Mus musculus: one gene and its partner. The protein of the gene in region 2 purifies or fractionates together with the protein of the main gene of each other region. This does not show direct contact. Links are inferred from orthologs where the notes say so. Each region holds a gene or a part of one and is shown on either strand. Other genes may lie near its edges. The genes, in order: Iqgap1 and S100b.

The links.
Region 1: the proteins of S100b (region 2) and Iqgap1 purify together in Homo sapiens (co-immunoprecipitation; 3 studies listed by BioGRID and IntAct, with this or other methods). This does not show direct contact. The link is inferred for Mus musculus from reciprocal best matches to the Homo sapiens genes S100B and IQGAP1.

What each region holds. Positions count from the first base shown.
Region 1 is NC_000073.6:80,726,731-80,730,541, reverse strand, and holds part of Iqgap1 (ras GTPase-activating-like protein IQGAP1), read left to right. Parts: intron 1-159; coding exon 160-300; intron 301-388; coding exon 389-473; intron 474-850; exon of another isoform or gene 851-898; intron 899-1,460; coding exon 1,461-1,693; intron 1,694-2,456; coding exon 2,457-2,589; intron 2,590-3,700; coding exon 3,701-3,803; intron 3,804-3,811. UniProt on the Homo sapiens protein: Plays a crucial role in regulating the dynamics and assembly of the actin cytoskeleton.
Region 2 is NC_000076.6:76,252,418-76,256,900, reverse strand, and holds the start of S100b (protein S100-B), read right to left. Parts: upstream 3,066-4,483; 5' UTR 2,943-3,065; intron 1-2,942. UniProt on the Homo sapiens protein: Small zinc- and- and calcium-binding protein that is highly expressed in astrocytes and constitutes one of the most abundant soluble proteins in brain.

The DNA of each region.
Region 1 (3,811 bases), on a different chromosome or scaffold from region 2:
TGACACATGATACAAGACATCCAGATCACAGCTTGTGCAGAGGAGCCTAAGTTAGCTAAGCTTCCTGGATCCTTCTATTTATAAACAAGACAAGCTCCTGCCTCGAACTATTCCTGGGGGTCGATCTAACATTGCTGGGGGTCATTTCTGTTTTCTCAGCAAACTGCCCTATGATGTGACTCCTGAACAAGCCTTGTCTCATGAAGAAGTGAAGACGAGGTTAGACAACTCCATCAGGAACATGAGGGCCGTGACAGACAAGTTCCTCTCAGCCATCGTCAGCTCTGTGGACAAAATCCCGTGAGTGCCATCAGTTGTGACTCCAAATAAAGCCTGGCTGGTGGCATACTCTGTGGCCTGACCTCACTCCATTTTGTCCATCCCACAGTTATGGGATGCGCTTCATTGCCAAAGTCCTGAAGGATTCCCTGCACGAGAAGTTCCCTGACGCTGGTGAGGACGAGCTGCTGAAGGTAAGACTCTGAGAGCTACCGGGTGCCTGCCCTCTGCTGTCAGATGCCCAGTGACCACAGACCAGCAGGAAGTGCCTGAGTGTCCTCCACTGTGAGCCTCACGAGCAGCTGTAACTAGAAGACGGTGCCTTCTAAGCAGATAGTTTCTGTTCATCTTCATCTTTAAAGGCACTGTGTACACTAAGTATAGGTAGTGGGAAGTTTTCCTGAGCCCTCTTTTCTCTGGAGCATTGCTCCCTCTGCTGGTGGCCAGGTGAATAGCAGCGAGCGCAGTGCTCTGCTGCGGATTCCCTGCTAACTCTTCTTACTTGGCTATACTCCCTCCTACTTGTGTTTTTACCTTTTAAATCTGAACGCTTCTCTCTTCTCTCTCCTAGTTCTGTGCTTTCCTACAGTGAGGCCTCGATTCTAGACTTTCTGTCCAGGTGAATTCATTTTATTTTTTTTCTGGAACTCTAGGGGAGATTCCATGATTGTCCTTGCGTTCCCCTGTGGAAGACATGTGTGCTGAGTGAATCTCATTTCATAGGCATGAACGTGGCCTTTGCAGTCTGTGGCATGTGGGCCGTGGGGGTTAAACAGACAGTAGCTCATCTAAGGACTTACTTTCCCTGTGCTACATGGCTTCCAAAAAACCCACCTACAAACCCCACAGAGGTGGTCGACATCAGCCTGGGCTGCTGCCGTAACATATGAACTGAAGGCGTCCTGGAGCGTTGGATCACATACCTTACAGTGCTATTTATATGTTCTAAATCTGTCCCTTTTTTCATCTCTGGTGCTAGTTTTCAGTTCTCTTCCCCCCTTCACACATCCCCCAGTTTATTTGGAATTTTAGGTCTTGAGGTATATGTGTGCATGTGTGCATGTTGCTGTATGCTCTTTGTTTACTTCCTCACAGGATTATATCTTCTCATTTTCATTGCTAGCAAAGCCAGGTGTGGTTTCCTCAGTGGGCTGCTCTTTAATGCCGTGCTTCTATTTCAGATTATCGGTAACCTGCTTTACTACCGATACATGAACCCAGCCATCGTCGCTCCCGATGCCTTCGACATCATTGACCTGTCAGCAGGGGGCCAGCTCACCACAGACCAGCGCAGAAACCTGGGCTCCATTGCCAAGATGCTCCAGCACGCGGCGTCCAACAAGATGTTTCTGGGCGATAATGCCCACTTAAGCATCATTAATGAGTATCTCTCGCAGTCCTACCAGAAATTCAGGTAAGGGACAGAGTAGACGACTCAAAGGTCTGTAGGTGTGTTTTCATCTGAGTGGTTAACCTTCTCCTCACTTCCCCAAGTCCTGAGTTGCAGGATGTGAGTGTGTGTATGCGTGTGCATGTGTGTGTGTGTGTGTGTGTGTGTGTGTGTGAGAGAGAGTATGAGTGTGGTGTGTGTGTGTGTGTGTGTGAGAGAGAGAGAGAGAGAGAGAGAGAGAGTATGAGTGTGGTGTGTGTGTGTGTGTGTGTGTGTGTGTGAGAGAGAGAGAGAGAGTATGAGTGGTGTGTGTGTGTGTGTGTGTGTGTGTGTGTGTGTGTGTAAGGCTCAATGGCTCCAGAAATGGGTGCGTGCATCAGGAAGATTCTCATATGCAGTAGATAGTAGTATTTGATATAAAAGGAGTGTCTGTGCATTAAGCCCATGCTCACTATAATCAAGAACTGCAGAGTGCTCTTGATATTTGGAAATTAACACTTACTTTTGAATGTAGTGCCTGGAGCAGTTCCTTAGAGGTGAAGCGCACAGGTGTGTGAGGGCCATTTGAAGTTGTGCTTGAATGCTTGTTGTGGGTGGAAGCAGAGCTGGCAAGAGAACTGTCTCAGCATCCCCAGGCTGCCGGGCAGGAATTGAACAGCAAACACGTGGCCACTTTTCTAGACTCCCACTGTCGTGTGGCTGGTTTGTCTGAACACAGCACTGGAGGGGTCTGTGTGCCCTTTCCTTAGCTGCCCTGCCAATGCCACCTGCTGGTGTTTACTTTCAGACGGTTTTTCCAAGTGGCTTGTGACGTCCCAGAGCTGCAGGATAAATTTAACGTGGATGAGTACTCTGACCTAGTCACCCTCACTAAGCCAGTTATCTACATCTCCATTGGCGAAATCATCAACACCCACACTGTAAGTGCTTCCCCTTAATTGCTTAGCTGCATCCCTCTGCCCTTAATGACTCCCTGGCACCTGCCTCCTCTCTGATGGACGGCCAGGCATCTCGCCTTGCTGTGATCTTAACTGACACCACAGCGCCTTGGCTTTTTCTCTTCCTTTGCTCTGCTGCTCTTTGGTGGTGCTAGAACTCAAATCCGGGGCCTACTGTGCACTAAGTGCTCTGCCCCTGAGCTGCACCCCAGCCCTGCTTCATACTCAAAATATCTACTGCTCTGCAAATTACTCCTAAGCCTCCTGCCTCAGAATCATCCACACTGACACTGAGAAGTGATGTTTGCCAGCCCTGTGACAGGTATCCTGATCCACAATCCCTCGGAATGGACTCCCAAAGTGCATTGTGAGCACAGACGTAGTGGCTTGGTGAAATGCTCTCTCTTATACCAGCCATTCGCCTTACTCCTCTCACATGACCTAGAACACCAGCTTCTTCCTCTCTGCCTGTGGATTTTTCTTTTGGAAGCTCTCTGTATAGACTTTTTAAACAGTTTCCTTCTCCCTTTGGGGACATGTAAATCAAGAATTACATATATGATGATGTATGTACATGTTTGATGGCATTTCATGTCCTGTCCCCTCTGAAGACATTACCAGGGATCGTAGCATGCCTGGGGCTTTGTTGAGTGGCAGGAAGATAATGGCAGTGTGGCTCTGGGTGCTTTTTCTGAGTAAGAAGATACTGCATGTTGGCAGAGTTTAAAACCCAGCACTAGGAAAAAACAAAACAGCTAGCCAAAGCGACCTTTGTCCCTGGGACACTGAGAAAATCCCAGTATATCGCTGAGCAATTCAGTATCGTTGGATTGGTGCTTGCCGGGTGCAGTGATGACTTTAGTTTGCGTCCCATGCTTTCTTACATGGGAGCATTGGATCTTTTTTGACCAGGCCAGGAGTTTTACAACACGAGCGGTTGGTTCTGTGAAGCCCAGTGTGCTGCTCAGGGCCTCACGCTGTTTACTAGGTTAGCTTGTTTGTCCTCTGGATGTGGCAGTTTCGTTGTTTGGTGTCTTTTGGTGGGGACAGAGGGTTGAGGGTGAAAGTGGGACCAATCACTGGTTCGTTACAGCTCCTGTTGGACCATCAGGATGCCATTGCTCCAGAGCATAACGACCCCATCCACGAACTTCTGGACGACCTTGGGGAGGTGCCCACCATTGAGTCCCTTATAGGTAACGAT
Region 2 (4,483 bases):
CGCTGACCAGGGTTCATCCTCTTTTGCCCAGGCCCACCCTGTCCCTTCTATGTCCCCATAGGCTACAGAGCGAAGTTTCCAAGACCATTGGTTTCTGGTTGGGTTTGGCCAATGAGAAACTAGCAAAGATGCTAATGCAAAGCATTAGGGAATGACTCCGGGTCTTCCTGGTGGCTATTCCCAATCCCAGAGGTCTCCAGGATATACCATCAGCTGATGGATTTAAGAAAGACACTAAGATGACTAGTAACAAGTAAATATCTACCTGTACACACGCACACACACACACACACACATCACTATCAGTGAACCATTTTTAAAATGCAGTAACAGCTTCCTCATACAGCAATAATATCAGGGGTTAGGAGGAAAAATGCAGGTACTTCCAAAAGATTCTGAGGAACAAGATTAAGAATGTTCTGGCTAGTTTTATATCAGCTTGGCACAAGCTAAAGCCCTTTCTCAGAGACAGGAACCTCAATTAAGAAAAACGCCCTCATAAGATCCAGCTATAGAGCATTTTCTTCAGTAGTGATCGATGAGGGAGGGCTGAGCCCATTGTGGGTGGTGCCATCCCTGGGCTGGTGGTCCTGGGTTCTATAAGAAAGCAGGCTGAGCAAGCCAGTAAGCAGCATCCCTCCATGGCCTCTGCATCACCAGCTCCTGCCCTCGGGATCCTGCCCTGCTTGAGTTCCTGTCCTGAATCCCTATGATGATGATCTGTGATGTGGACGCCAAAGCTGAATGGCCCTTCCTCCCCAACTTGCTTTTTGGTTATGGTGTTCATCTTAGTAATAAAAACCCTAACAAAGAGCTTATTTTCATTTGAATTAATATATTAGTTTAAGATGTATAAATAAAATATGAGTGAGGTTTTTTTGGGGGGGGATGGGGGACAAACCAAAAATATATATATAAAAAATAAAGACTGTAAAATTCCTGTACCAAGTTTTTGAAAACTACCAGTGAAGTGACCTTGCAGAAACACGTACTCCAAGGTCATATGGTTCTCCTGGCATCCTGACAGGGCGACGGAGGCCCAGCCCTGAGTTCTGTGCTTGCTTCATTGGCCTGGCCTCAGAGTACAGCAGCTTCTTTGTGAACAGGCATGCATGCCTGAGAGAAGCAAACAGCCTTTGCAGTGGGCACCTGATGCCACAGCCACAGCCCGGGGATTCAGGGAGGGCCGCTCGATTATCTGAGGAACTTCATTAACATTAAGCCATTAAGGGTGGCTCTGGGATCATTTTAGAAACCAGCCTCTTAGGCAGAGACATTTGGCAGCTCCTAGCCTCGAGTTCTGATCCTTAAACCAGAACCTGCACTGTCATAATTAAACAAAGGTTCAAAAGTCATTTCCATGTTGAACATGTTACATTTTAGAATACAACTTTCGTAGCTTTTTACATTTTTATTAAGGATCTCCCAAAAGAAACGAAGGTTTTCGCCCTGTATTGGCTCTCTGGTTCTTTGGTTTGTTCATGTTTTCCAAAGACACCTGAAGTACCTCATATAAGAAGAACAACCCAGATAGACAAAATGTAACATTCTCTCTTAGTCTCTTAACTTGAGTTTTTAGTTACTGTTGGTCTTTTAGCTAAAAGAAAATCCTATGTGTCTGGGTGTTTTGCCTACAGGTATGTCTCTGTAGCGTGCATGCCTGGTGCCCGCAGAGGCCAGAAGAAGGTGTTAGATCACTGGGAACTGGAATTACAGTCAGTAATTCCATGTGGATGCTGGACTGAACCATCTCAACAGCCCCGGTTACTGTTTTTGTTTGTCTTTTTTTTTTATGAAAGAAAATATGTTTAGTCCCATGGGGAGGGGAGGGAGGAGAGGGGAGGGAAGGACAGGCACAGAATTATCTGCCCTTTTTCCTTTTTAGATTGAGATGGGGGTCTCACTGTCCCCAGATTCTCTTCTAAATAATGATCTCCTTGTCTCTACTCTCCCAAGGGTTGGCTCATACCCAGCACAGTTATTGATTTAAAAAAAAAGTCTTCAGAGATTCTGTGTCATACTGATACTGCTCAAAGTCCTAACGGCTGGGGGAGGGAGAGCTAAATGATCTTTTTGTGGATAAGGACTAAGACTTAAAAGTAAATGGTGAAACACCATATCCCATAGGCAAAAAATAAATAAATAAATAAAAATTTATTTTTTCATGACTATATTAAAAATTCAAAAATCTCCCTATTCTTTCAACTAAGGAAGCATTGGTTTGTTGTCTGCCTTCTAAGACAAACGGATGAGTCTTTATAAAGAAACACAGGGCTGGAGCTTCTTGGGATGGCACTGCCTGTAAGGTGAGGGGTCCCCACAGAGACCACCCTTCCCCAGGAGGGATGACAGGAAAGTCAGGAGCCACCCCCAAACCTTCATCTCTCTGTCCCAATTCATAATGATTTGAAAAGTTTCAACTGCTTTGGATTTTTCTTTTTTGAGCAGTGTCTGGAGATGTAGCTCTTGGCGTTTCGAATAGGAAAACTGGAAAAGCTCACAGGGGTGCTCCAGGGACCCCGGGAAAAGTTGCCATGAAGAAAGGGGAGCTGCGGTTGGAGATTTGGGGTAACCCTATTCCAGGAAAGGAAATCCTTCCCTTAGGACTCAGAGAAGACGCACTGTGCGCCATCTCCAAAAACATCGGCAGTCATTCTGAAGTTCTAACTATGGCCTAAGGTTTCCCTGGTTTAATGAAAACAAAACCAAAGACAATCCCCCCGCTGTAACACAGACACTGCATAGTCAGTGTCAGCCGCAGTCACAAGGAAACAGTAAAGGCAGCCTAATCAGCAGCTCTGAAATGCCACCAAATGTCCCCAAAGGTCTCTTAAAAAAAAAAATTCTTAAAGCTCAGTTCCCATTCTATCCCTGTCACCCCTCACCCTCCGAGGAAAGAAAAAAGCAGGTTTTCTCTTGGGTCCTGTCAGTGGCTTTCTCACCTCCTGGTCACCTTTGCTGCTGGAGTCCTCTCTGGCTTCAGTGTCCGAGTAACAGGAGTGTAGACAGAACAGCTTCTTATTCTTCCTGCAGAGAGAACTGGGTGTGGGCTTGGCGCAGTCCACTGCAGGCTGAGGCTGCCAATGGGGGCCAAGGATAGGGAGGAGTTAGACACCCAGGCCTGCATACAGGGCCCCATTGAGTGGTACCCTGGGGATCCACTGGGCAGCCACAACTGGACTTGATCTAGAAAGAATACGGGTCTGTTGGGTAGGAAGTGTAGAGTCAGCTTCTCTGCACCTTTTAAATGTATTACATGAACATTGGCCCAGTTCCAAAGGCAAGGCTGGGGTTGGGAAGAGGAGAGAGACAACGTGGGTGAATTGATTTAAACAGCAAATCTGCAGCCAAGAACTGGAAACTTCTCATGCTGAGTGCTGGAGACTGTGTGGCCCTGACTGGCTTCTAAGGAGGCCTCTTGAACATCTTGCTTGTCTGCCAGCTTCCTGGTCCCCTCCTGCAGGTATGCCATGCTGGGGCTGGTGATGCTGGGTAGTGGTTACCCCCAGACTCCTCTTTGAGCCCAGTATTCTCAGGGACCAGCATGCAGTAAGTTAGTTACATACTTAGTACTTGTTGCACCTAGGGAAAGACCTGCCAGCTCTTGTCTTGGGGCTCTCTCTCCCTACCCTGGTCAAAGGTTATGAGTTGTCTGAGCCAGAAATGCCTGTCCTGTGCTGTGCTCTTTTTGCATAGGGAAGAAATGTTGCACCTCTTGTCAAGGCACAAAATGACCCCAGAAAGCAGTCTGTTCCTAACTGCCTATCTTCAGCAGCACTACACCTGAGCTTCAAATGGCATCAATTGTGCGCTCTTGCCCAGAAATGAGCAGTTGAGCTGGAGAGATGGCTCAGAGGTTAAGAGCATTGGCTGCTTTTCCAGAGGTCCTGAGTTCAATTCCCAGCAACCACATGGTGGCTCACAATCATCTATAATGAGGTCTGGTGCCCCCTTCTAGTGTAGAGGTGTACATGCAAGCAGAACACTGTATACATAATATCTTTTTAAAAATAAAAATAAAAAAAAGAAATCAGAAGTGAGCAGTCCTTTTGAATAATCACACAGAAGCAATGGCCCAAGCTGACCAAGCAAGAGAGGATAGCTTAGTCACACTTCCCTTTGCCCCTCGTGTTCCAAGTGTCTGTGGGAAGAGCTACATGACAAAAGACACCCAAATATCACAGAGACCAAGGGGTTGACTAGACATGTTAGGGCTCCAGTAAAGCTTCTCCACCTTGAGGAAAGGGGGCAGTGTCTCTTAGCTTTGGGGCAGAGGTATAAACTCCTACTCTGGTTCCTCCCTATTACAGGGGGCAACTCACCATTTATCTACATGAGATCAAAGCCACTGGTTCACAAAGATTAGGTCCCCTACTCTTCTTAGTCCCCAGTAGACAATAAAAGGGAGACTCAGGGAGACCATGATAATCATGACTGGGAAGGTTCCCTCACTTTGTGAGGTTGCTCAGGGTACTGGATGATC